Drosophila melanogaster: one gene and its partner. The protein of the gene in region 1 interacts with the protein of each later gene in a pairwise test. Each region holds a gene or a part of one and is shown in the gene's direction. Other genes may lie near its edges.

What was found.
Region 2: the proteins of CG15673 (region 1) and CG30423 interact in a two-hybrid assay, tested with the Drosophila melanogaster proteins (one large-scale study listed by BioGRID).

Annotation. Positions count from the first base shown.
Region 1 is NT_033778.4:21,598,604-21,616,962, reverse strand, and holds CG15673 (uncharacterized protein), read left to right. Parts: upstream 1-3,891; 5' UTR 3,892-4,158; coding exon 4,159-4,180; intron 4,181-7,004; coding exon 7,005-7,184; intron 7,185-7,896; coding exon 7,897-8,309; 3' UTR 8,310-8,570; downstream 8,571-18,359. Other genes in the region: CG18870 (uncharacterized protein), read left to right, coding at 236-317, 377-1,158, 1,226-1,369; CG10433 (uncharacterized protein), read left to right, coding at 10,171-10,282, 10,346-10,495, 10,770-10,891.
Region 2 is NT_033778.4:24,870,365-24,884,658, reverse strand, and holds CG30423 (uncharacterized protein), read left to right. Parts: upstream 1-8,793; 5' UTR 8,794-8,878; coding exon 8,879-8,894; intron 8,895-8,999; coding exon 9,000-9,000; intron 9,001-9,065; coding exon 9,066-9,321; intron 9,322-9,386; coding exon 9,387-9,494; 3' UTR 9,495-9,683; downstream 9,684-14,294. Other genes in the region: NKAIN (Na,K-ATPase interacting), read right to left, coding at 1-133, 925-985, 1,047-1,238, 1,301-1,381, 1,445-1,582, 1,640-1,699; CG44247 (uncharacterized protein), read right to left, coding at 4,943-5,495, 5,557-6,520, 7,362-7,455; CG16896 (uncharacterized protein), read left to right, coding at 10,019-10,299, 10,359-10,472, 10,535-12,950, 13,014-13,169; Atf-2 (activating transcription factor-2), read right to left, coding at 13,251-13,360, 13,414-14,294.

The DNA of each region.
Region 1 (18,359 bases):
TGGTATATTTTGTATTTAAAAAGTCTTCAGACCTGTACGGTATATTTTATCAATAATCTTAATGTTGGTATATTTGCGCAGACCAGCGGCGGTCACACCACACTAAATGCAATAAACAAATTTCTAACTTATTTTGCAACAAATGCAAACGCTGAGAATCTAGCTGGACACAGTCGCGTGGGAACAGCAAGGATACACGCAGGACGTGAGGACGCGCGAAAAGTCAGGTGCCGACATGTTGGTCAAGTGCTGCATCGGATTTGGGTCACTCTGGCCACTGGCCATGATGGTGGCCTTTTGCACTGCCTACAAGAACGGTGAGTGCGTGCATCCTCCTGTCAAGCGCATGCTAATAACCAGCTTTTCCACTATCCAGTTCGTCTCCAGGACAACATGTGCTCGGACAAACTGTTCTACACGCTGGCCAAGCCGTTCCGTGGCGATCCGACTGTGCGGCTGGAGTTCGAGGACACCTCCGGAGCGATCGTGACGCAGATGTGGAATTTGACACTGCCCCACGGCCATACGGCCAACAAGATTAAGTACGATTGCCAGTTTAGGGTGGTGACCAGCGAGCGACCGCGACGCGGCATTTACACTATCATTACGCGGCTTAAGTTTCGGCGCGACCCCGTTTCCAAGGAGTGCATCGACTACATTCAGTTCAGCAGCGGCAATCGCTCGCCCAGCGAACGCATTTGCACGGACATCTCCATTGATGGCCCGGCGGGACGTCTGATCTTCGATCAGCGTGATCGCGACGTCAACGTGCACATATTTATCGATCGATCGCGTCATATACTAGGCGATCCCCTGGAGCTGCGCATGGTGCTAACGGCACACTCGGAGTGCCAGTTTAATGGAGACTTCCTTTGCGAGCCCAACGACCAGTACTCGTGCATTTCGCGTCATTTTGTGCGGGACAATATCACCAATTGCCTGTATCCGTGCCGCGACGAGGGCACCTGCTTTCACGACGCCATTGTGCCGGAGATCGATACGGCCAATGTGGCTATATCGGCGCTGACCTCGCTCATCTTTACCATGGTGGGCGTGGGTTTTTGTGTGTGGATCTGCTGGAAGTATTGGAACTGCATAACGGTGCAGCAACGGGCGCACGAAGCCTCCGCTGCCCGCTTCAATCAGCGTCGAGTCAGAGTGAGTATAGCTAGCTTACTTCAGAGCCAAGTCTGCATGGGCAACAAATGACCAATCACATTTCCAGTCGGATGTGCCCACCATTGAGCTGCCACCATCGGTGCACTACGATGATAGCGTCCTGCACGAGCACGATACCCAGCAGCAACAGCAACCCGCCACGCCAAAGGATCTACCGCCCAGCTATGAGTCCCTGTTCCCGGAAAGATAAAGATCCGCGACGGGTGTCGCTCCGCTTTGTGCCAGATCAGCAAGTACTTGGTATCGCACACTTGTTGTATTAGTCCTATTAGGTAATTGTATCTCTATCTGAACCGTTCAGCAATCCATGTAAATATGTTAGGACTGATTTTATGTTTTGAGATTAGCATTAGCGATCAAACATCTTTCTCGATGTGTTCACTTTGAACCAAATTCCAGAATACACTCCCCGAGAATTTCCACAGTTTTACTGTTGTACATATATATAAGTTTTATATTGTTCCACTCTCCGTATTATTTGATTAACTGTATTGTAATTGTTAAAAGCGCCCTTTTGGCGAATGCAAATTGTTTACTCACTGATGAAATCTCACTGGTATTACCATACTCAATGAAATTATATCAATTATTTACCTAAGCATCAATTATTTATAAGCAAAAGCGAAAGCCACACAGTACTAGTCTCTATATTAGCTAGCGTAAATATTCCAAGGGCCAGCCAAGACTGGGCCGAGCATTCCACATAGTTGTACCTGTTTCTGTACTGCATAGATATGTATATGTTATGTATTTGTACGCATAGAATACCACGCGCTTGTAGATGTCATTGTTGTGTGCTGGCCGAAAGTGTCAATTGTTCAATTTCGAGTATAAGATGTAGGCGCATACGCTCACAAGATAATGTACGAACTACAGTATTTACTCCACACATGTAACTGCAATGTAACTGAAAGTTCGGGCTAGTGGTCAGTAGGTCTTAAGCCAATTAACTCATATGTATACACACGCAACTCACTCAAATACGTATATTAACTGATAAATAAACCAACTAAATCTCAGCAGAGCGTGGCGAAAGTGCGGCTGGGAATTACCTCACTCTTCGCTTAGCCTCCCCAGTTGCAGGGTGTCGGTTTCATCACATGGTGACACACATCGTGAATCAGCACGTGCCTTATCCAATAACCTGTCGAACCGGCAATCCGATCCCCCGCATCACCAACTCATCTGCCCAGCAATCGGCGTTTGGTCACGACTAGAGGAACTGCGTTACTGCCACTGCGTCATATCGTGGGCTAATCAATGCTGGTCCGCTTACTGTTCTGAATTAGATTTTACTTTGTTACCAACCATGTCGTGGATGGATCGCGTTGGATGTGGCACGTGCTGGGGTCGCCTGGTCGTTGACTCGTCACAATTGACCAAACTGGTTATTGCCATCGTAGCTGCGAGACAATTTGCTGACCAATCTGTGCCCCCGTTCAATGTCGGCCCACAATTGTCCAATTGCCTTGGAGTCGCAGTATGCCATTCAATTAGCGAATGTGCAGCTCTCTTGGCAACCGGTAGCTGCTCCATGGATACATCTCTATATATAACGCCCAGGTGCCAATTATAACACGCACACAAAAGAGCCGAGCCGAGCAGCTCGATCGATTGATCGATCGCTCGATCTATTCATCAAGTTCAGGGTCGAACTCAAATCACTCCGTCGCTCATAGATTGGCCTTAATTTGTGTCAAGCACCCTGATAAGGAGTTTGACCGCTCCACCATCCATCACCCGAATCTCAGACCACTGGGGGATCCTAGAAATTTCACTCCATCTTCTTCTGACGACTCCACTTGGTCGGATCACGAAATTCACACAGCGTATTAGCACCTCGCAGAGGGGCGTGTAGGTGTGAGTTCACGCCCAAAAATAACCCTAAGCAGAGCAGAGAGTTCTTTGGGCCACTTTCGCAGTTTTTTTAAAGCCAACTTAAGCTTTAAAAATAACCAAGGTAACTAAGGATCTGCAAATTGAGGTGTGGCTCTTACCTTAACCGATATTCGTGATGTTCTTAAAGGTGAAAAGGCAACATTTGTTAATTTAAGCGCGCATGTAAGACCTACACACAAAGGGCATAAACAACCAACATTGATTATAATTTATTAACTTTTCTTATCACATTTTCCTTATCTGCGACACATTGTCACTTCTTTAACATTGATAATTTTACAGTTCACAATGATATTTTGCATAAACTGCGCAGCAAGAAGATTATTTTCGAATAGCAAGATAAATATTTAGTAACTTTGGATATACATATGATATATTAATTTTAAAATTCAATTCTCACTTATGCACTCATGCTTTCTATCCGCGTGGTTACTAGCCGAAATAGTATATATAAAATAATAAAATAAAATCATTATAAAATTAAACTTTGGTTCTTTTTAGGGGGTTTGTATGAAACAATCGTAGTCGGAGAACCCGAACGGAACCACGTTCCAATCATTCATGGGCTTGGCGGTGGCAACGGTGGTAGCACCTCCGCCTTCAGAACGCATTGTTTGATGTTTTGGCCAGCAATTATATACGTTGCTCTAACCAGTTCCGCCAATCGCTGGAATCACTACTACACTTTCTCGCCCGGCGGAGAGCGCGTGACTCATACGCACGGGGGCCACACAAAGACGCTGGCAGCGATGGAACCACCAGCAGCAAGAGCAGCTCCGGCTAAAAGCTGTAGACATGGCGAGCGACGCGCTCAGTCTGCGACACACAGTTGAAGCTGAAAGATCGATTCGATACGGCGGTCAGTCCGCATCCGCATCCAAATCAAGTCCAAGTCCAAGTCAAGTCCCAGCCCGCCTCCGTTTCCAATTGCCCGGTGCAGTTCTCAGTGAAGTGAACGATTTATGGAAATTCATTGATTGCAATTCAAGCCGACAAGTGTGTGAATTAAAAACAAACAACATTCCGAGTTACCTGAGCAGTAGCAGCAACAGCACCATGCCACACAGCCGGATCCATACAATGTGGCCCATTATGATAGGTGGTGAGTCTGGGACAGGCCTTCTCTGGCTACTATACCTATGTATATATCGTTATAACAAGCAAGTCTCCAAACAAGCATATGCTAATTATGCGAACGTGAACTTCCACAAACTCTGGCTGATTGCAGGTACCTATATATGTATACCGATAATGCTCAATAGGAGGCAATGTTTGAATGGGTCTGTGAAATCGCGTTTTGTGTAGGAAAGTTATTCTTTATAATACGGCCAATTATCCCATAGAACTAGTCGTTCTAAGCTATGCTTAAAATAAAAAAAAAAAAACAGGAAATATCACCGCTGATTGCTTAATTCATTCTTGGCGTAAATGGTGACGGTTTGCCTGGCATTAAAGCCTCATAAATATTATTAAACGTTCTATTATGATTAATTGATTGCCCCTACAAACAAACACAATCGAGACTTGATTGAGCAGCTGTTTATTAGTTTCAGTACGAAAGATATAGTTTCCTAAGAGCAACTGTGCTTCCACAAACCATAGAACAATTTTCTTAATAGCTATTAAGCTTGTATTATCACACGCAATTACCATTATAGCCTGTGGCGTCTGTTTGAGGAACTTCTGGCGTCAAGACCATATCATCTTGGTCCTCCATCCAGACGTCGTAGTCGTAAACCAGTTAACGATGTCTTTACGATACCGTCATCTGCTAAGCCCGTTAGATAAGTTGTGATAGCCGGCATTAACCGACATGTGATCGCCCCGTAAATATCATCCAAGCGAATCAAAGTAAAAGCCCCTCGTTCCGTTGACATTTCACTAAAGTGGGACTTTTAAAGGGGGTGAGGCTGCGGTTACTCGACTTGCAATTTTCCCGCAAGTTATGAAAACCGGTTAAACCAAAGTCACTGGCAAGCCCCAAATGCTAATGATAAATGACGTTATTATGAGGAAAGCGCTATACTCTACTCTCAACTAAGCCACCCAACTCGGGCATAATGGCAAACACTCACGGAAATTCCCGAAATTCGATTTCTTGAGCAGAAAGCGGGTTCAAGGCGCTTGGAGTTCGCCTATCTGCAGCTCCGATACATTAGCCAAGCGAGCACATGGCATGCGGGCCAAACAATATATATCCCATATACCATGTCCAATGGCCCATGCTCCGTTTGCACAGGTGCCAACGCAGTAGTGAAGTGGAATTGCTGACGTTGACTTCAGCACGTTTTGCCATTAGTGGCTAATTAGAATTTAATTGCTTATATTTTGTTGTGTCCGCTTGTTTTTCCACTTCCATTGGGTTCGCTTTGTTTGGCGTTCCAATGGTGTTTGCATGCGTTCCTTTACCGCCACCTTATCACCACGAACTCGACACTCTATAAATAAGCGAACCCACCCGATCTACCCGCCAATTATCCACTGTTGACTGAAAACTCAACCCCAAGAATAACCCGCAGTCAAACATTAGCTTTGGCAGTTATTTTTAGCGGCCACATATCAAGTGCTTTAATCTAGTTTGTAGTGCGTGCAGAAGTGGAGCAGGGTTGTCCAGGTCTGCTCCTAATTACCTGGTTACACATTCAGTTAGCTCCGAAGATGCCTTTCGGTCTTATCAGCGTGGAAAATATTTGTTTTCGACTAGCAGAAAGATTCCACATCTGTGCTTTCACATGACCATTTGGTCTAGAATCTAGACTCTAGATGAATCCAAATGTTGTCAGAAATTAGCACAACGATTCCATTCAGCTAATTTTTTCCAGAACGGAGTTTCCTACTAATAAAAGAAGATCAAGCGATTTGTGGCGATGAGTTGGTACTGCAATTCATTCACCTTCCTTTCGTATCTATGAAGCAATTACATTTTTTTGGCTAGACAACGGGGCGTATGAATTATCTCATAGTCAGTTGCGCAACTTTCCTCTGGACTGGCGCTACAAAAATTTCTCATGGAATTGACCAGCTGTCGCTCTCATCGAGACTCGTCGTCACATTTCCAACTTAGGTCAACGATTTCGTACGACCGAAATTTCATCAGCTAGGTGGTGAAATTGATAGCGAAGTGATGGGCGCGCAATCAGGTAATTACACGCAATTGACAGGCGTTGTAAAGATACTTGGTCTCAAAATAAAGATGGTGTGCCGTGTGCGTCTCCAGCCATCCATCCCGATCCAAGAGGGAACGCACCTTCGATGGTGAAATATGGCCGCCGCCAAAGAAGTGTGCAAACTTGGTTGCCAACTCATCGAATGGGCTTTAAATGAGATAGCCATGTTTTATTGGCGGCAGCTTAACTGGCTTTTATGGTGTTTGTGTTTGTGATGGGTGCGTCAAAATATTTTGCAAACCGCAACCAGGAAGATAATGCCCGACCATTGTGGACGAACTAACACCTACCCCACTAGCCGCAGTGACTAGAGATCTTCTCCAGTCGTATCAGGGCTGGAGATATACCCAAAAGCCGCCTCAGACACCGGGTCGTCATTGAGGGCCTTATCGTTAAGTGGCTTTGGCCGTAAACCTAGTCGCCCGATTGGCTGAGATTATTTAGCGATCCATTTACGGGGGGGAACACCCTGCTGGCACTGGTTATATTTAGATTCCTTATCAGTCGCCGATGAAGATGTTTGACTTGATCACTCCCACCTGGAGGAAGATCCATTCGTTCGCACGCCCCAGAGTGGCGATGATAAGCTATCAGTGAGCTCACCGCTCTGTCTTGATTTCCTGATACCATAATATCGCTAATACAGCTTGTCTGCTTCGCTCCGTTCCCCTCCCTTCCGCCTCATTCCGATTCAATTCGATTCGATTCGTTTCGGTGCGGTTTGGTTTGGTTCGGCGTGGCCGTTTTGTTTCCTTTCAGTAATCATCGCCAGCTCGTGCTGCGTAGACGGCCAGTCCTATCTCTTCAGCGTGGAGAACGTTCTCCACGAGTCCGCCCGCCCACTGCCCTACAACTTGACAAACGCCAACGGAACCACCGAGGTGGAATTGTTTCCCGACACCATCTCAAACAACACGCGGATTATTGTCTACAAGAACAGTGAGTATCTGAAGGATGCAATACTAAATGTGCATGAGGCATCAGACTAAGATTTTTGTGCTAGATAGAAAAAGATACTTTGAGTAAATCGTTCAATCATTTCTATTTCACTTAGGCTGTCAGCCACTCAGCCACTTATTTTTAGAGTCTTATTAATGTTAAAGAATAAATTAAATTGATTTATATCGATAAGATTTGCTACAAAACGTCACTGATTACTTTGGTAGTAGAATTGACTTGAGTACCATACAAAGTGAAAATAAACGAGATCGATTGAACAGGCCATTTCAACTGCCATAAACATTTGTAACCCTTGTAACGCTCGCCCACCGGTAATATCTTAATTTCAGTGGACCCTTGAAACCGGCAATCAACAACGATTCCCGTCTAATTACTATATACCCGCCACTAGGGTTAGCCCCTATCAATGGGGCTCATTTAAGCCATTAGCGTAGTTCGATGACGCGCAAGTATTGCAGTCGAGCAGTTTCGTCATAAAGTTTATAGCACAGACCCACAATTCGTGACTAGAAGCACAACAGCACCAACTGATAACTTGCTGCTGGGATGAAATTCTAGCAATTCTAGTTATTTCCATATAGAGTCTGGACCTTATATTTCAATTAGACTGGGGAGATTTGTCTATGCTTTGGCTGCGATATAAGCCCTATAGTAGTCACGATCAAAACTAATTAATACCTAACACTTTCAGCTGTCGTCGAGTCGCCCAACGATCTGTCCCAGACGGCAATGGATGTGATCACGATTGTGTGGTATGTGGCCACTTTCCTGGCCCTGGCCGCCTTCTTCATGCTGATGGCCTGTTCGGATCGCAGATGCCGCGACATGAGGCGTCGTCCCGCCGGAGGTCAATCCACCGAGGGTCTGAGGGCACCACCCACGCCCTCGCCATCCTACAGCGAATTTGCGCCTCCCAGCTACGATACGGTGATCAAGATGCAGCACGCGGCCAAGACGAGCGTGTTTGTGATACCGTTCAGCAACAAGGCCGGTGAATTGGGTGCACCACCGTCGGGTACGCCGCCCCCAACTTCCAACCCATTGCCAGCCGCAGTCACCTGCGATGTGATCATCGTCAATGAACTGCAGAAGTCCGCTGACTAAGCAACCGATAAGCCGACGGTGGATCCCTGGATCCGGCCTTACTATTCCGACTCTGTGATATTTGCTGTTTATGGCAAAGGGCCAAGTATTAGATGTCGTAAGATCCCCACAAAAAGACTGACAATGAAAGATATCTGTGTGCGCATATGCATTCAAATGCCAGTTCAACTGAAACTAGATGATTAAGTAATTAACTTTAATAAATCATAGCCATATCGTAAATGATTCATCCAACGGGATGTTTGCTAAATGTTTACCAAGAACTCGGCTTTCCAGTTAATCAGGGGCTTATGGGGAATATTCAAAGTTGGGGGCAAGTTATCTGGCAACTTGCTTGGCAAAAGCTTTCGAGCAAACAGATTCCGTAGACCAAAACCATTTAGTTTCGCTCGGGTGAAAGCTTTCTGCGGAAACGAATTCAAAACTGAGTACTGATAAGCGTTCGGGGGAAGCTTTTTCGTTCTGATGTTAACTTACACTTGATGCGAACGGATTGGGATTGACAAGGCCTGAAACTGAACCCCCTTCATTCAGTATCAGGTGATCTGGAGTTGAAGTGCTCGCCGTGCGTTTATCCAAGAGAAAACACTGTTTGTTTGAACACTGCGCTGGCCAAATAATGGGGCAAGTTAAGCAAACATAAATAAGGCACTTCCCCCTCCCATTGCCATTTGGATGCTCAGGGTCAGGCGTTCGGTTCATTCATTGATCGATTCCAGTGAATTTCAATTTCTTTCCAGCCGCCGTTGTTTAGATCGAGCGAAGGTAACATCTGGCCCAAAACAGACCTGTTGTTGTTTCTGGGGCACAGCCAGCACACCGCGTATGCGTAATATTTCGATTCTTCGGCGTTTGTTTACTTTCCACGCACATATTTCACACAAATTGTTTTCGAAAATTACACAAACACCGCCGACAAGAACTGAGCGCTGGCAGAGCAAGATGATAGCTAGATGTTTGTGCCAAACCAGATCGGATTGCAGTAAAATCACGTTACGCCCCGCTCAATGCGGTTCTTGTTCTTTCGCCTGCTCCGCGCCGATGGTCGTTGATTGCCCCGTTGATTGGTCGCCCGAGTTGAGCGCTTGATTGTGGGTCCATTCATTGGGCGATCTCCAGTGCACCGCGAGAAATTTCAAAGCTGTAACTATCTTTAAAAGCTAATGGTAAAAAGCATTCGATAAAAGGGTCAACGGTGCTAGTCATAACAGAAGAGCTCTCTATACTAAATCATCATTATGCATTCTGTTTCATATGCATATCACCGCTGCTGTAAAACGAATAATCTTTACATTACTATTTTTTTTCCAGTGTAGAAACGCGTTTATAGATGTTAAATATTAACCACTGATAAGTACAAGCTAATAACAACAATAATCGTAACAACGCGCTCTGGTTTTCTCCGTGTGCACTCAAGAGCGTTGCTGATTGAAGCGGATGAAGCCGAAGCCGATCGGAGTTGGTCAATTTTCTAAACTCTCTCACGGTCTTCAATTGAACGGCACTTCCTCGACTTCCTCCCGTCGCCCCCGCCCTTTCACACTCTACGTCCCAATCTTCCGCTCGCTCCGTCTCTTTCTCTTTCTCCGCGTCTAGTTGTGCAAAAACGCTCGCTCTTTCTCCCTCTCGCGCTGTTGCTCTCCCGTCTCCGTCGGCAAAGTAATTTTTCGTTGAAAAGCCTCTGTGGCGTAATTAGCTGGGATCAGTTCAACGCAAACCGCGCCATCGAGAGGAAGTGGATTACTGCTGCTGCCAAGCTGCCAGAGTGAAGTGCATTGAAAGCAGAGCGAATCAGAACGAAATTCAAAACGTATCACGCATACGCCCGGTAGTACAGCCGAATATCCCCAAATAGCCGAATATGTCGCCGAGAAGGAGCTTGCTGTGCTGCCTGCTGGTGAGCAGCATCCTAGTGCTGCACCAGGCTCAGGCCAACATCGAGACAAACGATGTGAATGACCCCAGTTACTACAGTAAGTGTGCGATGTGGATCAGGCGGCCATAGCGAACTACCACTTAACCCATTCAAATCGCAGTGCTGCAGGGTGTGCGTGTGTATCCCAATGACCGACAGTGCGTCATGGTCGGAGGACTGTGTGTCGCGGAGTCGGACTGCATCGAACCCACCTCGAACAAGGGATTGTGTCCCACGAGTGCCGGAGAGGGCGTGGAGTGCTGCTACGAACGTGAGTAGATTGCTGGCTCTCTGCTGTGTGTACCATCCTGCTTAAAACCTGCAAAAACCCCAAACAATCCCCAAAATATCCCCAAAAATCCTAAAAAACCCCATCAGTCCGATCAAACCCAACACCTGCTTCGCATCGCTAAAAATCTAACCACAATCAAATTGGCATCGTTACCGAATTACCCGAATATCGCCACTAACCCTTGACAACCCGATCCATTCTGTGTGTCCCATCGCCCTCGAAAACGTCAAACGTCATCCCATTGCCGTTGCAGTGCCGGTCAGACCAGCGCCCTGTGCGGAACACCTGGGACAGTGCATGGACCGATGCCACCAGAGGCTCCTGCGACCCGGTTCGGATTGCAAGAATGGCCAAGTCTGCTGCGTCCTGATTTAGTTATACTTAACCACACCATACACATACCCGTGCAGAGGAACAGCATCGTCAAATGATAACAAAATAGCCTCCAAGTTGGGCAAGTCAGAGTGACAATTCTTGAATACCTAAAGTTTATATTCGAGACTTCTAGAATATTCGAAAAATATTAGACAACACTAACATTAAATTGATTTGACAAAATTGAGTGCTGAGCGGATTGAAACTAATTTGGTTGTGTCATTCCTCTGTACACATACACACACACACACACCGTACATAAACATGTATTTATTTAACTATATGTATATTAATTATATTGTACGAATAATTTTGTATGACATCTTAAGAGCCCCAAATCTACCCACAATGTGAAATATTTGACTGCTTCCAATAAATGCATTGTAAATATTTTCCAAAACAAATCTCTACTCACTCGAACGGTCACGTATCTGAGGATTATGTAAGTATATGCATACGGGTATGATCAGCTGACGGCCCCCAGTTCTGAAACCCTTATCATCTGGCGGAGCTCGGCCGTCACGTGCCCCAAGTACAGTTGGGTGATCGAAGTGCCCCGAATCGGGATTGGGAATGAAAACAATAATAGCCGCATCATCGACAAACTAATTCCAGAGATGATGGGCCAGTGTGAATCACAAGATGAAGATGGCAATTGAAAACAACAGCTTATCGCTCCGCCAACATTCAATGTCAAGTTCAAAACACGAAAATCAGTTCGATCCTTGGACCGCCTTCTATAAATACAGTTTGGAATATTTTCCAAACAGTTCTCAACCGAAATAAACGAAACGACCTTGCCACGCATCGCGAACATATACCATCCACATCCATGTGCCGCGCATGCCTTGCTTTTCTGTACTACCCGATATCTGTTTGTATCTGTATCTTTCGGTTTGCATGATTTCATTGCTAATGTTTGGACGCTTATTCCACCCGGTTATTTATAGTTGGGCGGTCGGCCACTCGACGGGGTCACTTAAGTTTAGTTCGATTTGATTTGGCCAGCGCTCTTGAGTTGAATGAATTCGTATGCAGGGCGGCATTGAGGCGCCAACATGTGTCTATATCGATGGGGCGTAGTGGAATGTAAGTGGCAGAAAACGTGAATGAAATAAGACTTAATTAGTATAGGAACACTTTATGAGTGGTTTTTAAAATGGCGCATGATTAATGAACCATTGAAATCGAATTCTGATGGTATAATTGCATATTCCCTGCTCTTAAACGAATCTCTGTTGCATGAAGTTGAAAACTATTAACCGAAGTTCCAGAAACATCGCTCAGATACTTGTGTATTAGCCTATTGAGAGGAATAGGGTGAAGCAAGTAAGGCAAGCTACCTTTCCACATTGTATCTTTGAATGAATGAAGATGGCACATGCCACGGACCTATCCTGACCTTGCACTGAGTGCATTGCATCACTCTCGCTGCATCGAATTCATTGTCATGGCACTTAACCAGCCAATGCCAGTGACAGTGAAACCATCGGCCTTGTCCGGACACTATTCGCGATCTATATCAGCATATGGAGCGGAATCAAGGCGTGTGCATTCCGGCCGGACTATGTGTACTATGTGCCATGCCATATACATACTCGCACACATTCATATGCGGCACAATTGAGTAAATCAGCGCATATCAAAGCGCCGTACTGCGTCTTAGATTGCATAAGTTGTGCAGTAGGTCCGAGAAATCGCTGCCAATTGAACCCGAACCCGAACTCGAACCCAATTCCAATCCAAAAACCCAATCCCAATCCGAATCCGAATCCAAAAAACCCAAGCCGATGCGATCCGATCGCTGCCGAGTCGAGTTTGGCGTAATATTTTGTAGGTACTTTTGTTTTTTTTTTTTTCATGTACGGCTTATCAGGGCGGCTCATCATCACCGGGCGGCACGGCATATAATAAATTATTTATGTGTTTTTGTTTTTTCGCTTTTTTTTCGTTTTTTTTTTTAGCTTTTTTTCACTCTTTGCAATTGTTTACGTTTTCGATTTCATTTTTGCGAGCTAATCCCGATTTATTTTCTTTTATTTGTGTCGCATTTGCGCCACACAGAGAAACTAATAAAATTTTGTGTGCAGCATTTTAGTGGGCGTTGGGGCGTCGGTGGGATTACGGGGGGGTGGGGGGATAAGGCTCAGATTCAGATACGCTCATATTTCATGTCATAGTTCGCACTTATTTTTCACTTGACATAAAACTGCGTTGGCGTTTGCGTCTCATATCCTGCGGCCAGTGCAACGCAATTTGCATCTCCATGCCACTCCGCCGCACTCCGCTCCTTCGTCCTTTGCCTTTTTATATTTTGCACTTTTTTAATTTTTATTTTCACATGTGGCTGGTAGTGTGGAGAGTATAAAAGAAAATGATTTTGTGGCATAAATTAACGCCAAGAGGCACACGGAACACTATTAAAAAATACGGATCCGCCAGAGCACACACATGCCGAGCTGACTGGATGGCTGGCTGGTTGGTTGCCTGGCTGGTTGGATGTATCCTGGATCCTGGGCCTGGCCAAAAGGATGTGGCAAGTCAATGGCTTATGGAAAATCCAGGATATGCACTTCACGGCCGCGTGCACTTCGTGTGGTCGTCGAGGGGCGGGGGGGTGCTTCGGTGGAGCTCCTCATGCAATTAATCCTTTTTTCCCCTGGCTCGCAGCTCATCCTTTGCCGGCAAAATGACTTTTTAAGTTAATTTCTTATGCGCTGAGAATCTTTCCTTCATCGCAATAAAATGTATGAGGGGTTGAACATTCAGCTGACGCTGTGGCGTCCAAATACTCCGTCATTTAATATAACTGAAATAATGGCCATTCCATTGTGATGGAAGCTGCTTTGAGAGAGCAGCTGTTGGCCATAAATTTCAATTATTTTGTTAGCTCATTTTTTTTTTGGCACGTATTTAAACTCGTTTTTGGCCAGGATCAACAGGTTAAGCTCTGCGTTGTTTGCTGCCAAATATTTGGGTTAGGTAAGCCCGGTTTTATGGTCCGCACAATGTCAACACGACATCACATTTTCCTTAACCACACACAAACAGTGATTTCGAAAAGTATGTTTCAAAAGTAGAACATTAATTGCAAATAAAACAAATGCACAACTAATGATATTACTTAATCTGGTAAGTAAAAGCAGACATAATTTAAAGAAGTCATTAAGATTATAAAAATGTGACTCTTATATTTCTTATAGATACTAACTTATAGGTAAATAGTTTTAGATGTGCTTAGTCATGGGACCTAACTTTTAAGTGGCACTTTATGACAGTGCTCCATTGTGGTACCTCGACCATCTTACGAATTTGAAATTTTGATGCAAATTTATGTGCAAATGGCATAAAATGAAATTACTCAAAATCCTTTGACAAATACAAGGGAGTCGGGTGGTGGGTAACCACAACACACCCCCTGCCACCTGAACAACAAGCCCCCTTTGTGGATAATACCATTAAAAGCGAGTAAAGTGAAAGTGAAATTGGAAATGTTTCCATAAGCCGGAGAGGCAAGGATTTTTCCCGGAGATGTCGTTCCACCTTTTGATGTATGCAAGATATACAAATGCCATATTCATGCGTACATGGGTAGATTGTTGATGGATAGAAGGGGTTATATGTATTACCCCCGTTGAAATTCCCGCACAATTAGCTGGAAATTTCTTTTTTTTTTTGGTTATGTTGCAGCCACAGTGAAGTGCTGGCCCCTGGGGCGGAATCTTCATTTTTTGTAACGGGATTAGCCGCAATTTCTTTAATTAAAATTTCCATCACTCGCGTGGCTCGGGCGGAGTTTCTAAGCTGGCATGGGGCGAAAGGATTGTAAATTACGCTGTCAGCCAGTCACTCAGTCTGTCAACAACAATTAAAACGGGAAGCAACAGCAACAAATTAAAAATTCATCTTCCGCAGGATTCCCAGGAACTCATCCATGTCTTACATCTTTTCCCATTCGCATCCCATCCCGGGGTTACTTGATGTGGTCCTTTTTTTTTTTTTTTTTAATTTGATTGGCACGGCGTTTCCGGTTTTTCTTTGCTCACCACCTAGCTCCTTGATTAGCTCACTGAATACGGCAAACGGGTTGGTTTCTTTTTTATTTTCGGTTATTTGCTCTATTCGGACTGATTTGGCTTGTGCACCCTTTTGCCTCCGTTTTAATTGAAACCTAATTTTCTGGACTTTTCTCATTATTGGCGAAATAAAAAGGAAAATGCCGCAGGTGGGCGAAGTTTTCCTTTGCTTTGCCCAAAAATGATCCCCTTCTTGGCCTTATGGCATATCATCATATCATGGCTGACTGACTTCTTTTCAAACATCGCCAGCTCCGAGTCGCTCAACTTTTTGACTTTTGTTGTGTGCAAATAATTTGCAGCTCGTTCGCTGGCGTCATTAACAATGTACGGTGGGGGAAATGGCAGAAAGTTTTATCTAATTAATGAAACTTCAACGAAACGTCAGCAGTCAGAGTACCGAATGCCTGGATATCCGCCTTGATGTCGTATTGTTGACAGTGACGACAGTGCTGCGCGGGCTAACTGGGCGGGGCAACGTGGCGTATGATTGCTTTTGTGTAAACAACCGACGCGTAGCCATACGTACAAATATATATATATATATATATAGATGTACATATATCTATGTCGCATTTTCGCTTTCCGCCCATCTCCTTTTTCATTTTTTGTGCGCCTCTTTATCCGTCAAAAGTTTTTTAATTAGCAACAAAAAGTAAAGGGTTAAATATCGCGTCGAAAAGTTTCGGCAAGCTAACAATTAAGTTTCGGCAATGCCGCTGACACGCCCCCCCTCCCCCTCCGCGCCTTCCGCACACCACGCCCCCAAAAGGGGCGGAGGCGCGAGTGCAGATAATAAGTATTAAGCAACACTTACTCGCAATTAAGTTTTACTCCTGCCAGCGCCGCGTCCTTCTTTGTTGACTTTTTTCCGGGCTGTAATTACGCGTAATCGCAAAATTAATTCCTGCACATGACTGCACCGCTCGTCGGACAGGACAGGATGGCAGGAGGGGGGGGAGGGCATCCTTCCCAGCTTTCACCCTCTCCACCACCATCTACTTCTCCTTTCCGGCTAAACTGAACTACGGCATTGAGGATTCCGTTCTGGCAATAACCCGCAGCCAAGGAAAGAACATGACCACTCCTCATCCTGGAAATGCATTAAACAGCGGGCAGCGGCAGACAAATCTGTGTAATATTCATGAGATTTGTTTTACGATGTGCTAACAATGCGTAAATGTACCACTACAATTGCCACAACAAGCAGCTCGCAGTTAAGTGGAGCACCTTGCCAGGTTCGTTTTCCTACATTTCGCGCAGGACGACTGCAATAGCCGCTAAGGATTTTTTCGGTTCCCTTGTTTCCGTTTCGCTTGTGCTTCTCCAAATATCCTTGCTCGGGGTAAGTAGTTCTTGGGAAGAAGGTATTACCACTAACTATAAAATTTAACTGCTAATACCAAATAAAAATGTATTTCCTTATACTTATTATAAGTTTAAGGTAAGTAAACTTGCGTGGAAATATTTGTATTTCGTTGTGATAAAGCCAAGATTTTAGGGTATTCCATATTCGTTTTGAGCTCAACTAAGTTTTTCTTTTCCATTTTTTCCTCTCACCTATTCCGCTTGCCACGACTTCTCCCTCCAATTCTTTCAACTTTTTCTTTGGCCGGGCAATTTTTCACTTTCGCAAGATGGCAGCGCATTTTAATGAGCCACCGGACAAGCGGTCATCCAGGCGGGCCAAGTCCTGCCAGGGAGCAGGAGCAAGAGCCAGTTATCCTGGCTGGCTGGAAAATTTGTGTTGCATTTGCATTTTCATTGGCGCGATATGTTAATGACTTGCTTACTTTTGTGCCATCCGCTGCCATCTTGATAGGGTTCGAAACTGGAAACCGCTGCAAGTGTTTGCCCATTCTGCGGAATTACTTAGGGATTTGTTTGTGCGATTGCGATTACAGCGAAGGAGCCTTCATTCTCCATAATCACCATAATCACCAGAGTCATTTATCATTGTAGCGCATTGTTAAAGCTGTAATTTAAAATCATTTCATTTGGTATTTAGTTGAGTCGAAATTCAATTGAGTTGCGAATTTTCGCCATTTGCAATGACCCCTTTGACTTGGATCATAATCTAATTTGTGTATTTTGTTTAACGCTTCGATAAATAATTGTAGAAAAATGGCATTTACATAACTGTGGATAATTTTGCGAAATATAATACCGCAAGTGGATGCAAAAACAGGCAACACGAATCGAATGCAGCCTGTTTTTTGTATTTATTTACATTGCACTTTTGTTGGATTTGCATTTGTGCTTGTGTTTGATTAAATAAAGTTTTCGATTTGGCCCGAATTATATGTGACAGAGCCAATGTTAAATGAAGAGAAAAATTGCATTTAAAAGCCAAAAATTGACAAAAGTCATTTCGACATTTTAACATTTTCCCAATGAAACCAACTCAATTCGACGTAATGTCTGTTTCTCTGTACCTGCTTGCCTGTATATAAATATGTATATATATATATATATGTGTGTGTGTGTGTGGGAAAAACATTAAAATAATTGTTTTAAAATCCTTTTGTCAGAAAGCAAAGTAAATTATAAACACACATGCAGAGCGGAGACAGACGGATGGACGGACGGATAGAGACAGCCTGGGAGACAGGATAACATTTGCACATCACAAGTCATTGGATCAGGACTCCACTGAGCCATTAAAAAGGATATCGTATGTGTTAGTGCGTGTCTACTTGTGTGCGAGGACAACTGCAAAAACATGGCAAAAAAAATGGAATTTAAAGAAAATGCCAGGAAAAACTGTATGTTTCCAAAAGACAAATCTCTAGTGGTGCGGAAAAAGTGAACTTCAATCAGGACTGAGCGGCGGCTTAGAGGCACACAAGGAAAAATATTTGAACAATACATGATTTCGGCACCGAGTGTAGGATATATTCATCTCACAATTAATAACTCATAGAGTACTTGAAGGACAACATAATTGAGTGAGTGAGTCTGCAAGGACTGTCTTACATGTCTGTGAGTAAACTACCGCTCTGCCAGGTGTCCAATTGAAATTGATATTTGGTTTTGTATGTGTCGAAGGGATATAGATCTGAATATTTCGGCTATTTTCGATGCTGCCAAAGTGCAGTGCAAGTTGCAAGCAGAGCGAAGCATGTGCAACATGCATTTTCCATAAATCGAACCAGCAATGAAATGTCAGATGAAATTCTTTTATTTTCTGGGAATATTTACACGAGTGGCATGTGGGCGGTGGCGAGGGCGAGGGCAGTTCGTAAGATGAAGTTACCACCGGAACCGGAGTCAGAGCTCATTTCATCGGACTGGGACTCACCTTTGCCAGATGCTCAATACAATTGTACAATATTTATTTAATGTAAATGAGAAACGGAGCCCAAGCCATATGAGTCCGGGCGGCGGAGCGG
Region 2 (14,294 bases), 3.3 Mb from region 1:
TGCTGCAGTTGCAGATGCTTATTTGATTGCATGGTGGCGCTTGCGGATGTTGTGGGTATACTTGTATAGCTCACGTACATTGGGTGCACCACGGTATGCTGTGGACTCTTCGCGTCGCCGTTCATGAAATCGACTGAAAACCAGAAATTGATTAAGATGCTTTAACAATAAACAGAGGAAAACATCGGAGGCAGCAGGACACCGTGCAGCACCCACAAGCTTTTTACTAATTATAGAACTAGTCAAGAGTAATTGATTTAGCTTCTTATTTGTGTAAATAAATATGTTTTTATATTGTTTGCTCATTTTGTCTACATTTTTACATTTACATACTTTCATATCAATTAATTATATTCATTTCGGAGCACCTATCTCAATGTCGTCTTACATGGTTTAGAGCTGCACAGTGTCGCTGCCCATATGCAAATACAATGTTTCTGATTTCTTGATTATGAGTAAATGACATATACATAACATGAATAACAATACGATTATGTGGTATGTGAGTAAAATGTTTTAAAGGGCATGTGTATAGATGCACACAATTCAAATGGACAAGTCATAATGGTTAATATAGGACACAATTTATGTTTAAATCGAAACCATAATTTTCTGGGGGTACAGTCGCATTCCAGGTTGCGGGTTTTTTGGTAGGGAGGCAAGAGACTTCTTATCGAGAGCCTTATACAATCGAGAATAATATAAAGCCATTGGCCAAATTCTCGATGATAACTTTACAAACATTGCTTACACATAGGGTATTATTTTAGGTTTTGTGAGAAAAGAAAACATACACCTCAGTGCACAGACCCGAAAGTGAAAGATCTTATGGGGATGAGAGGGGTTAGCAATGACCGTTCCCGGTTAGTGGTGTTTATGACAGGCGAGCATGTTTCTTATTCGCATTCAGAGAGCGCCACTTACATCTGTCGTCCTCGTCAAGAAATATGCAACTAATCAGAATCGCACCGAGTATGCCGAGCAGCTGTGGGAGTGGGCGAGACAATTTACACAATTCAGGGAACTTAAGCTAGTAGATCACTCACCGCCAGAGCGCACTGTACCCCCGAGTGGGTGATCTCCACCAGCGGGTAGTCCAGCAGGCAGCCTTCCACGCGCTCCGGCCGCTGGGGACGGAACGTATCGTCCGCGGCCATGTTATAGGTGGGCTTGCAACCGTACCCATTCGCCTCGAACCAGGAGACGCTGCCAGTGCCCAGGTTGAGCAGGTCACTGTCCTGTGAAGAGATTTCCTTCTAGTTAAGAAGAGATATGTCTATTGTGGAGCCACGAAACTCACCCTGTTCAACTGCCCCACATTTAAGTAGAAGCAAATGAGGAAGGTATTCCACCCGATCCACAGGAAGTTCCATATTAGATACTGCAGGCGGGCACACAAAATAAAATGGGGTTATCGCAGAGATATGGTAATCAGGGCACTTACGGTGATGATGTATTTAACGCGAAAGTGGTAGGCGCCGTAAAACCCGAATATGATGAACAAAATGTGGAAAAAGTTCACTAGGATAGGCGCCCACATGTAGCCGAGGAAGTCGAATACCTGGCGCTCGATAATCGTTATCTATGGGGAACGGCTGTAGATTTCGAATTGTAATCATTCGGATCGCGGTCTACTCACCACTTGCAGGAAGCATATTGACAGCAAAAAGTGTCGCCGCGTACACGAGCACGAGCCCATCACATCGTCATTCCATTCAGAATTTGAATAATAAATAAATCCACTCTCCCCGTCGCTATCTGTCTTTCCAGCTAGCTGTCTACTTCAGTCTATCGCTTCCTTATCGGGACTGGAACTGGTGTCTATCGGCGGCTGTAGCTGGACCTTCTAGTGGCATTTCCGCGTCGCCTGCAGACCTGCTGCAAGTCAAGCGTGGCAAGTGCCGCTCTACCTCTGCCTCTTGGCCTCTCGCTCGCACCTCGAGAACGAACAGGTGCAGGGGAATCCAGGGGCAGGGTGGGAGCGAGAAAGAATGCAGCTGCCCCGTCGAGCAGCGAACAAAACCTGATCTGTGCGAACCGAGTGTAAATAAAGAGAAATTAAGCCAAATGAACTGCGCTACTGAGAGAAACCCTGCTTAAACACTGCTGTGGAGGGTACTAGTTCTTTGAACCTCGGGTACTGCATTGTGGGTTCATGATTTCACGAATACAAATTGAGTCATGCTTCCTACATTTCCGAACGCGAGGAGATGTTTCAGAAATATTTTATTCTGTAAGTTTCCTTAGTACTTAGTAATTTATTTTGAATCAACTTTGAATAAATCACCCAATGTTCACAGTAATTTACAAAACAAAAGAATAGGGAAACTTTATAAAATGCTCTTTTCCTGGGAAAGTCACGGGTACCAAACTATTCCACCTAGGTACAAGCAAAGAGGAGGTGCCCATCCCCACACCGCTGCTCACACACACTCGCGCGCATTGAATGCTCCCTACCAACACACACGAAGCGAGGGGCTCACGTAACTTGAACCAAGCACGCACTATTTTCGCCCATTTCATCTACGCGAGCACAAAGTGTTATATGTATTGTCGATTTCAACAGCGTCTGCTTAGTGTCCAGGTCAAGTATGAGCAATTAATTAATTAGCACACAAACACGCCAGAGATGCTCCCGCATCTTCATTCCTGTGCGGGTACACCATGTCTATATTTGAGGCCCTCACAGATCGATCGGTGGTTGGACGTACATGTCTTGGCGGTACCAAATTAAACTGTAATCAAATTAAACTGTAATTCAATGGACAACGCATGACGCGCTTTATTTGTCACTCGAATATGACTCAAAGCGAGAACTCAATTTCATTTGTTTTCCACTTGCGACACGGAAGCCCCACTACAACCATAAACACACACAGACACACACGAGCAGGAGTGAAATACGCTGCGTTTAGATTCCATATGTTTGGAACGGCCCCAACGCAGCGAAATCGGCACGGAACCACTCCACTTTACATAATGCGCAGCCACGGCGATTTATTATCTCGGAAAATAAGTCTTTTTAGACTTACGTTGGGAACAAGTGCTCGAGCAAACGGGACAAACAATTGAAATAACTGAGCAGTGTGACCGTGCTACAAACGATAAGAATTCCTTCGGACCTGGCAGAAAATGGCGTTATATACCATTTCAGTTTGTAGAAATACCAATCATTGGAAATGGTATTTAACGTTACTTTTTAAAAAGTCATTTACTATAATCAAACAATAAAATGCACAACTTAAATATTTTCGCAGGCCATAGGATGCATCATCTATAAAAACGGTTGCATTGAGCCTTCTCAATCGGTGCAAGCACCTTACAGCGATCTTTAAGCTTTCCTCTTTTATCTTTCCAAAGGACACGTCCAGAAGGGAAATCCCCGGGAAGTTAGGTCCAGATACGTGTTGATTAAAAAGAAGAAGACGCGGGATTTTGGTTAGTTTAGTTTATTCTGTATGCATATTGTATAATTTGTGTGTTTTACGGTTATCATACATGAATAAATATAAATTAAATTATGCTCTTCATTTACAAAGTGTGTTCTTTGCACCTCCGCTTTCAAGTTGCAATTTTGCATTTCGAGTCCTCGCCTTGAGTTCTAATTATTTTCGTGTTTTTGGCCAAACACCATAAAATATATATTTCAAACTCAACATTACGCTCAACGTACATTCATATGCTATGCGCATTTTATTGTGGCTAAGTCAGTTTCGATTTGGAATTCAAATTCAATGTTCAATGCTCCAAGATGCTTTGCATTCGCCTAGTTAATAGAAATATAATATTCGTGTTGTGTTTTCTTTAGCTAGTTTTTGAACTCGCAAGTTCTTCAATTCGGTTGTATTCAGTGTATTGTTTCGGCCGCAATGGTTTCTAACTCTGTCCTTTGCCCAATGTTTCATGATTATTTACAGCAATACAGTAAAATGTTCGCTACAGTTTCCTTTAGTAGTTTTTGGGGCTGGGAATTGTTTCCGCTGATAGTTTCCATTAATAATCTCTCACTAATAGGTAAATAAATTGTTTCTTCGTATCGATTTCTCTTTTTTGTACAATAGACGCGTGTTCTTTTTGTGTGTTATCAGTCGTTTTTCATTTACTTTACATGAATGTGCAGGGAAATTATTGTTAAGTTTTACTTGTAAATAATCCTCTCCTCCTCTAGTCGCGTCTCCTGCTCTACGAAATATATTTGCATGCGCATGCAAAAAGTTTGGATGCCGGAATTGTATTTCTAAATTGACACAGATAATTTAGGATCGATCACAAAGCGTAGTAAAAATGAGAGAAGATAGTACACCACACAGACAGGTAAGTAAAAAGGTGTCCGCCTTCGTGTATATAATACAATAATTACATGAATATATATCTATATATAAATATGTGTGTATGTATACATATATTTATAATAATATAATATGTTAGTTTGCTTCGGTTGGTTGTCCCTCCTCCTAAGCTCCTCAGCTTCTCCAGACCGTAAATCCAACGATTCGCAGTGACAAAAAAAGTTGATATACAATAACCCACGCTGCCATGCAACACAGGATTACGCTTGCCGCATCGTAATAGAATCATCAGCGTTGTGCAACTGACAGCGGGTGGAAACTGGGCGGATGAGATTGGGATTGGGATTGGGTTCGGGTTTGGGGTACTCACGGTTTACTGGAGCTATTCTTACTGCATAGCAATTACATTACATTACCGGACTTATGCATATATAGGGAAGGAAGAATAGTGACAGATGTGTGTAGTGTCGTGTGTGTGGTTTGCTTGGCTCCCGGAATTAAATTCCCTGAAGTATCTGTAATATGCGTAGATGGCTCCCAGCACCTAGTCTGGTCTGTTTTTGAATCTGTGTAAGAGGATGTGTCTGTTGGCTGACAATGGATCAGTCAAACTTTACCAATTGCCCCAAGAGGGAAAACAATGTCCAGTCGCCTTACTTCTTGCTCTTGCGCTTCTGCTTGGGCTCCTCCCCTCCGGTCGCTGAGGCTGCTGATGCGGCTGAAGCTGCTGCTGCTGCAGTGCCCGTTGCGTTCAGGAGATTTATGTTCGGCTTGACCGTTCCCTTCTTCAGGGTGGCCGGCTGCTGGGGGGTAGCCTGCGTGATGTTGTTATTGGTCGCTGCTGCCGCATTGGCAGCTCCAGCGGTTTGGGACGACAGGTTGTTTGACGGCGTGGCCGGCGTCTCGTCCAGGAAGAGCGGATTCTTCACCTCCATCTCACCAGTGGGCGCCAGGCCGGGGCACTCGTACACCGTGTAGTCGCCCTCCTCGTTGTCGTCGTCGCTCTCCACGTCCGACATGCCGCAGCTACCATCCGTGGCCTGGTTCTCCATGGCGATGATCTGCTGCTTCTGGTGCTGGTAGTGGTACATTTGGGCGCTCTGGGCCAGCTTTCTGTCACCGGACGGCGAGACATCCTTGTTCGGCCCGGTAACGCCGTAGGCAGGGTATTCCACGTCCGCTGCTGCCTTGTGTCGATTATGGAACCTGTCAAGATATATTGGTTAGCTCCTGGAACAGGCATTGGGAGCTTCTCTGGGTTACTTACCAAGTTACTCCGAGGGCAAGAAGCCCAACGGTCACCGCTGCACTAACCCCCGCTATTAGGGCCACTATGTACACCCCCATCTCGCTGTTCATGCCCAGGTGCTGGCGCAGCACAATCTGCTCCTGACTGGAATCACCTCCGTTGACCAGCGTCAAATGAGAGGGCGCTTTGCTTTGCTTTTGCAGCTTGTTGATCAGTGCGTTAAGTTCATGGGGTGGTTGTTCTTTGCTCTGGGGAATATTCACTCCCGCCACGGCTGCGGCGGCGGCGGACTGGGGATTGATGCGGTGGAAGTTGGTGTTGGCGGCGTCAAGCAGTTTGGGCGGCTCAACGGGCACGGGAGCCGGTACTGGCGTATCGATCTTGGTCTTACTGGCGGTGGTGGCTACTTCGGTTGTGGGCTCAATGGGAGCATACTCCTCGTAGTCCTCCAGCGCCCGGGAATCCAGCTCCCCCGAAGGGTCGTTCGGGTTGTCAAAGAAGCGAGCGTCGCTGGGACCTACAGCAAAGGGAATCCGTTCGCGGAGCACACTGTTCCTGTTCGGGGAGTTGCCCAGGCTGGGCCGATTCGGAAGGCTGGGCAAGGGTGGTAGGTTGGGCAGGCGAGGCAGGTACAATGGAGGACTTTGGAGATCAGAGACTGCCTCCATCGGACTGCCGTAGCTGGCCTCTGCCTCCGCGTTGTCGTACTGGTCGTACTGCTGGTTCAGGTTGTTTCCGTTGGACTCGTAGTCCTCCTCCGCCTCGCGCTGTACCTGGAGCTCCTGCTGCCGCTGGCGGTACCGCTCCTGCTCCAAGAGCTGCCGCTGACGATCCATCTTCAGGTTGATTTCGTGCAGCTGTTGGTCGAACTGCTGCTGCAGCCGACGGCGGGCATACTGCTCCATCATCTGGGCCAGAAAAGCATACTCTTGCTCACTCTGCGGATCCATCACAGGCGGCTGAATGGGTCGGCGGCGCAATCCTGCAAGAATTCGGATTCGAATCGTATCAATGTCATCGGATTAGTGGGCACGGGCAGATGATTATGGTAATGGTAATGAGCCTGGGCTGCGTGTTAGGGATCGGAAAATAGAAAGTGAAATCGAAGTCGAAATAGAAATAGAAATAGATGGAATGGCCGAAATGCGGTGGTCTGCCTCCTACAGCCTTAAAGGATTCGAAATAGACAAACAAAAGTTCGTTTTATTGCCAGAGGCTAAAAATAGACCAATTACACACGCGCCCAGGTCAACCCGAGCAATTCCCGCAGAGTGAGGGAGACCAACATACAGTCGGAGGACTGGGAACCGAAGTCTGTGACGTGCGTGGCAATTCCATCGCACTTTGTTGTTTTCGTCGTGTTCAGCCCATTGTTGCGCTTGTATCAAGGAAGTATTTGTTATAGCTGTTGGGATGAACGGAAAAGCTTTAAGGCGCTTAAATGTATGCTACGAAAATCGTAGCTAATCCATATTACATATATTTATACCAAATGCATACATATGAATGTAAATTTCGAGTGGAGAATTTCGTTATTACCACTTATGTGTATTTATGTAGTTACGACGCTGCAGTTGGCTTGACTTTTTAGTTTTGCCGAAGCAATGAGCGTGGGTGTTTTGGTTTGATTCGGAGCACTTCGCAGGACTCGCCATGCATGTATCTAGTGCAGGGGATACACAAATCGAGGTGGCAGCTTTCCTTTCCTTTCCTTTCGCTCCTCCTGCGCCATTCAAGCCCGAACACTCAGGCTGCGTGTGTGGGTACATGGGTGTACGGGCTTATAGGTGAATGGGTGTGTAGTGCGCTATTTTTAGGCTTACCTGGGTAAACGGACATTTCGCAATGACCCAATATGCTGCACAGTAGCGTTGCAGCGAGCGCCAAGCTAACGGTGATTTCCAGGCGAGCCGCCATCTTGCACTTGCCACCAAATGCACTCCCACTTGCGGATTTCTCGAGACCTCAGAAATCAATTTCGAATGGGAACTATCTAGCACTGCACGACCTCTGCCACCACTGCCATATGGCCGGTTAATGGGGCTTTGGCTAGAACGACGACGTCGACGAGGGTTATTGATTTTCAACACCCACACTCGCACACACTTGCGAATATATCCAATTGGCAGCTGCTGGTGGTTGCTCCCCGAACTTTTGCACTTTCGCGTGGGCGTGCAATATTTCTGGCTAGTAACCTGCGCCAACTGCACTTCTCGAGGATTTTTGGGGGTTATTAGGTGTCCTAGCAAAGGTTATGCTGCACTCTACCGGGTGGTTAAAATGTCAAATGGTGCACTTTTCTCACAGATTGCTGGCGAAGAAGCTCAGATGGACATATGGCTGTGGGGATATATGCGGATGGGACTCGACTCCTGGGCTGCGTTGCTCCGCTGTCGACGTATACCGTTATACTGAAGAAACTGAATGAGCCTGGCGGCGGCAAAAAGCCCGAGAAGAAGCAGAAGCTGTGACGCAAATGTTAGGTTCGCCCCCGCGCTGTTAAATGTTGCGGGCAGCTTTTGAGGGCAGGCCGCGCAGCAACAACAACAACCAGAGGGGCACAGTAGTCAAAAGCAGCGCATGCGCACAGTGGGGCTGAAAAGCTCGGCACGTCCGTTCCTTTATTCTTTGAGTAAACACGGGCATTCATAAAGAGCCGAGACGAGGCCAAGGAGACTCTCGGCCAGCTAGCAGGTGGCTGCCACTCACGAATTCCGAAGCCCCGTCAGCCAACTCCACGCCCGCTTTGGGAGAACCCTCCCTTTCCTCCAGCTTCCTCGCTTGGGATAGGGCGTGCTTAATTTTTATCAATGAATTGGCAGCCAAAGAGCTTTTCTCACCGGCAAAGGACTGCGGGAGTTATGGTAGGCCGAATAGTGTATGTGTAGCATTGGTCCTGATGTCCGAATCGGTTGGGAGAAATACCCCCAAGTGGATCTCGGATTCTTACGCGAAATGATTTCGTAACAGATTATCGGGGAATACTCATCTTTTCCTTGCTTTCTTTTCATTGATTAGTCGTTGATAAACGGACTTTTAAAAGACATTTAATAAAAAAGCTTTTAAAAACTTAAAAACCAAAGGTAAGTCCTTTAATAAAGCATTTCATGGAGGTTCGGAGAAAATTAGCATATAAATTGAAAATACATTTAATTAGACCTGGAAGAATTTAAAATCGAATTTAATAAATTATTTTTAACGGTATATACTAGAATCGGTATATTACGTTTAAATAATTTTGAATGGTCATGTTTCGGTCATACTGATGAACTGGTTCATCTGGAACTACACATCTGAGTCATTTTTAGGAGCGACAAAGGAAAAATTATAAACAAATACAATGGCCACCTTAAAGGGTAATTATGCACAACAGTCTCTAGCAAATCTAATGGCTTACATTCTTCGCCTACATCAACACCAACTGGAACCCGCTACACGCCTCTTTTGAAACCATCACACAGCGTATGTCTACAACTACACCCACTCCTGCAGCCAACCGTCTGATAATGATTCCCCTCTTTGTGCAGCCTCTTCATCTGCGCCTTTCTTACATGCATTGGTGTTACCTTCCTGATCCTGGCCTGCGCCGTGCCCACGACAAAGATTTTCTATCCCTTCTTCGTTTTGCTGTTCTACGTGCTGTCAGTTCTTCCAGTCTTCATTGCCAGGAGGACAACTCCTGGAAATGAGACCAATCCGAAATCGGAGTTTGCTCACTTCCTTACCGCGGGAATGGTGCTGAGTGCCTTCGCCCTGCCCATCGTCCTAGCCCACGCATTGGTGGTAAGTGGACACACGGAGCTATTGGGATTTTAAGAGTGTTAAACACGCGATGTCATTCTTAACAGATCACCTGGACGGCGAGTATCCTGACGATAATAAGTAACATTATTAACTACGGCACCATCTTCTGGTACGCCATGCGCGATGACGAGCCATACGGATCCATGTTCTAGAGGGGATTTGTAGTTCACAAGCTCACTAGGCTAGTAACCGGCGCAGGAATATCACCGATGCACTGGGTCCTAGGGTTACGGCCATTTATCCGTAAGCACGCATGCTGTTCGCTTATCCGCAGTCATCAACAAATCTCATATAATCAAATGTATCCAGATAAACGCAAACAAAATAAACTGACGTAGTAGACATTGTCTGGTTCCGGTTCTTTTTGCTGGTTCGATATCGATATCTAAACCACTATTCCATAAGCAGTAATTCTCTCCACTGGCGTATCAAGGAGGGATTAGCTCTCAGTTTTCACTCACTTAATTGAACTGGAAATATTTATAGTCGAAAAAAAATAGCCTGGATGGTGTTCATTTGGCTGCACTGGAACTAGGAACAAGCATTCAGTTGTTAAATATACAAATTTGTAAATATCCTTGCTGGATAAATGAATAGCGGTGTGGCGTTCCTTTTTTCATTGGCGAAAGTACACGTCCTTTGACAAATGGAGTTACACCTCATTTGAGCCCATAACATGGACAGGATTATAAAATCTGAAATCAAGAAGGAACAGATCACGGGTATTCCTTCGGTGGCCCTTCATGGCATCGAGAACTCGATGCAGGACGATAGAGATGTCAACACTGACGTGGAGGAGGACTTCACGGAGGAGGAGTTGGAGCTATTCACAGATCAGGATTCAGACACGGGAGATTCTGATGTGTCGCTCACGCAGCCTGAGGCAGCGCGCAGTGTGCTTTTGAGCAATGCTCCTATGCGCAAGTACCCTTTTAAGCTGAAGCAAAGCGAATCTGGGTGAGTATGCGCTCTAGGCACATTGCGGAGTTGTTGCCAACGAAGTTTGCGAATTCCAGGAACGTCCTAACCGTTCACCACACGATCAAGGAAGCAGGTCAGGCACTGCGCATCCAGATTGCCGCCTGCTGCTTCAACGAACTTAGCAACAAGCTGGTGGTAATAGACAAGCGGTAAGGTTGACAGGGGAAACAATAACGTAATACTCTTTTAAACAGTCTTTTTTATTTCCCAGTGGCAATGTTTTCGTCTTTGACTTTGTACGCAAACGCTACTGGCGGCTGGGATTCCGGATGCCCAAGGCCAAGCTCATTCGGCCATCCCCTCTGCACGGTAGCGACTACATTGTAGGCAATAAAACGGGCCACATTTTCACCATAGACGTGGACAACTCAATTCTTGGGGTCGACGGAGAAGTGGGAAGCGCAGCGCTTGAGGAATTGAGTTGGAGCAATAGCCTGCAGAATGCACGCTCCTCTATCGCTCTGATGCGTTTCGGCAGCGATGCACTTCTGGTGAATCTCCATACTCTGGAGGTTTCCCATCAGCTGGATTTCGATCAGTCGCGCTACACGCTGAAGTTCGCTGCCTTCCTGCCCCACTCGGACCAGTTCTTTATAGGGTTTTCTAACGATTCTCTGCATGTGTGGTCCTCGCATTCATTGAGCACTTTGCGGATGGGCCAGCCTATCAAGGCCAGGAATCGCAAACTGAGACTGCTACCAGCCGCAGAATCTATACCGGAAATAGTTCTCCGAAGCCCGGATGACAGTGACTTGGAGGAGGACTTGACGTTTGACTGCCAGCACTACGACTTTGCCGATGGAATGCTACTCAGCTACTGCTTCACCCCCGACGGCAACAAGATGTGCCTTAGTACCTTGGATGGCTATCTTTTATTGCTGAGCGTGGCCTCTTTTGATCTGGAAAAGATGTACCGCTTGACGGACTTTACTCTCCACCAAATGGCTTTCCTCTCGCAGCCAAAGGAGCGCATAGTGTTTGGAATCACCACCAGAAACCAAGCGGTCATGCTGGATTTAGCCAATACGGATCACAAGCTAATTGTGCAGCGCTCCAATGCACGAAGTTTGAGTCTGAGTCGGGATGGCAAGCTGTTGAGTGTAACGTCTCGCTGCGGAGAAGTCAATGTGTGGTCCACGTGCCGCATTTTTAACGCCCTGCAAGCTCAGATCCGCTGCCTCAGCCAGGTGAAGTCCACTTTCAAACAACCGAATCCTCTGCCGCCCTGCAGCGTCGGTGGAGGCGTTAGCAAAGAACTGCGAGATCTGCTCAATCCGCAGCGCCTAAAAACCATGCTCAAGGAGTACGGTTGCTATCCTGAAAAGTACAGGTACCTAATTTGGACATCCCTCTTAGACCTGCCCTGCAATGGGCCTCAATTCCAGGAACTGATCAAACTGGGGGCACCTCTCCTGGTCAGAAATCGGGCCAAGAAGCTTAAGATTCGCAACGATCACCAACGCCGTGTTGTGATTAAGATTTGGAGTTGCCTTGCTCAATGGTGCAAGGTCTTAGCTCACGCAGATTTTATGCCACACCTGATTTTTCCGTTTGTGAAGCGAATGCCCAAGAATAGTCTGGTTTGCTTTGAGTTAATCGCTACCCTTGTATTGAATCATTTTCAGCTGTGTTTCGAATTTCATCCGCTGCCGCCCTCCAATTATCTGGCCATGTGCGAAAATATCCTGCAGCACTGTGACGAACAGCTTTGCAAGTTTTATAAATCCCAGGAGATGTTGCCTAAAGATTTTGCCTGGCCCCTTCTGAGCACTGCCTTTTCCGAGGTCCTTGAAGAGGAGCAGTGGCTATCGCTGTGGGACAACATATTTTCGGAACCACCCTGGTTTCCAGTCTTTCTTGTAGTGGCCTACAATTTGATTAATCGAGAGATAATCTTGCGGCTGCCAGACAAGCGATCAGTCCTCTTCTTCTTCCACGATCAGAACCCTGTGGACATCAGCAAACTTCTTTCCAAGGCGCGCAAACTAATGTCCAAATGTGCGCTTGCACTTCACCCACAGCGTTTCATGACACACTTCAGCCCCATTCCGAAGGGTGTGTATCCAAAGTTTCTCAAATATCCCAGCGAGTGGATCGATGAGCAGGAGTATCAAGCAGTATCGTTGATCAAGCACAACCAGGAAATCGATGCCCGAATTCGCCATCTTGAGTTGGAGGAGGTTAAAATTATGGAACGCCTTGAAACAGGACTTAAGCAAGAGGAGCACGCTCGCCGCCTCAAAGAAATGGAGAGAGTTTACCAGGACACAATCCATCGCGAGGAAGAGCGCATCACCTGCCAACGGAAAATGCTGCTCACCTACCAAATGGAGGTGCGTCGGCGCAAGAGCGAGGTCATCACTAAGTTACAGGAGTCTGAGCAGCGACGCAAAATTCTGGAGATGGAGAAGGACATGGACCTGCTGATGCACAGTATTGAGCGTGAGCGTCGGCGTCACAACCAAGAAATGCAGCTGGCCGAAGATGAAATTCGTAACCAGGAGATGGAGCTCCTTGCCCAGCGCTACTACTCGGATACGGAGGGTGCTCCACTGGCACAGAAGTATTACGACAAAATCCAGAAACTTTGCTATCAGCGTGATCAGCTGCAGAAAAACTTGCGTGATGTATGTGATAAAAGATTTTAGATTGTATTCTGTGATCTCCTAAGTCTACTTTCTTCCGAACAGATGACCATGGAACAGCTGCGAACTCCAGCAACATCATCTGTGCAATTTAGTCCCCAGCTGGTGGATATCGAGAATTCCATTTTTGAGATACAGAGAGAGTTTACGGAAATCATAACCACAGACAAAACATTGGAGTACAGAAGGAATTTAACTTAACTGAGGCTTTTTTGTACGAATAAACTACAAGGCTAGGATTATGTACATGGCACTAGAAAATAAATAAACAAGGCATATTGGTTATTTCTTGGCCGCGCTTGCGTTGCTGGCGGACGAAGGCACTAACACGTTGGGCACATTGATGAGCAAGTGTATACTGGATGGTGGAATCCGCAGCTGGTCGGCCACCACTATAAACGAAAATAAATTAACTTAACTTCAGGAATGGTTTATTAAAGCTTACCGCCAGCTAAGCTGCTGTGACTCCTGTGCTGCTGCAGTTCCTTTTCTAATCTGGAAATTCTTTCGTGCAGTTCTTGATTCTCCTGCTGCAGCTGGGCGTTCTGTTTGATGAGGTCCTTATGCTCGTTTCGCATCTTGTTACGGTAACGAGAGGCTGCTGCTCTTCGTCGCTCCATACAATCCTCGTCCCGACTGCGATCCTTTGCTTTCGCAGCCTTGGGCGGTGTGGAGAAACTTCGTCTGTTATTATTGCTGTGGATAATGGCCTTCAATCGCTCCTTGATGGGCAGCTGTGAGGTGGGCGTCAGACTGGCGCTACTGGGCTCGTTATTAGGTGGGTTGCAACTGACCAAAATAGGCTCGGGTCTTTTACTGGTCTTGTTTAATTCTTTCGCAGTGGGTTTCGGCAGTATGAAGGGATGAATGGCACCAGTCGGCTTCACCCTGTTTCTGTTACAATCAACTGTAGCGATGGAAATGGGAACTGACTGCGCAGGCAGCACCCATGTTAGGACCTGGGGCTGGATCAACTGCAGCGGCGGCGGACCATCTTGACTGGCTTTGGAAGGCGAGGTAACTGTCGTGGCCAGAAGCTGGTCCACATCCATATCGCCGCAGCTGACACTTTGTGGGACCTGATTTTCAGACGGAACTGATACCACGGTGGGGGCCTCGACGGGATACACCTGGGGCGTGTGCAGGGACTCACCGTCATTGGGTCGAGCCTCTGGGCGACTCGGAGTGCCGCTGACATTTCGCTCCGCTGCTTGCTGGAATCCAATGTCAAATGGATTTACGTGCTGCAGGTCCTCGAAGAGACCCACCTCGTCGCAGTTCTTGATGAGTCGCGTAGGCGTGGGCGTTTGGTCGGCGGCAAATAGA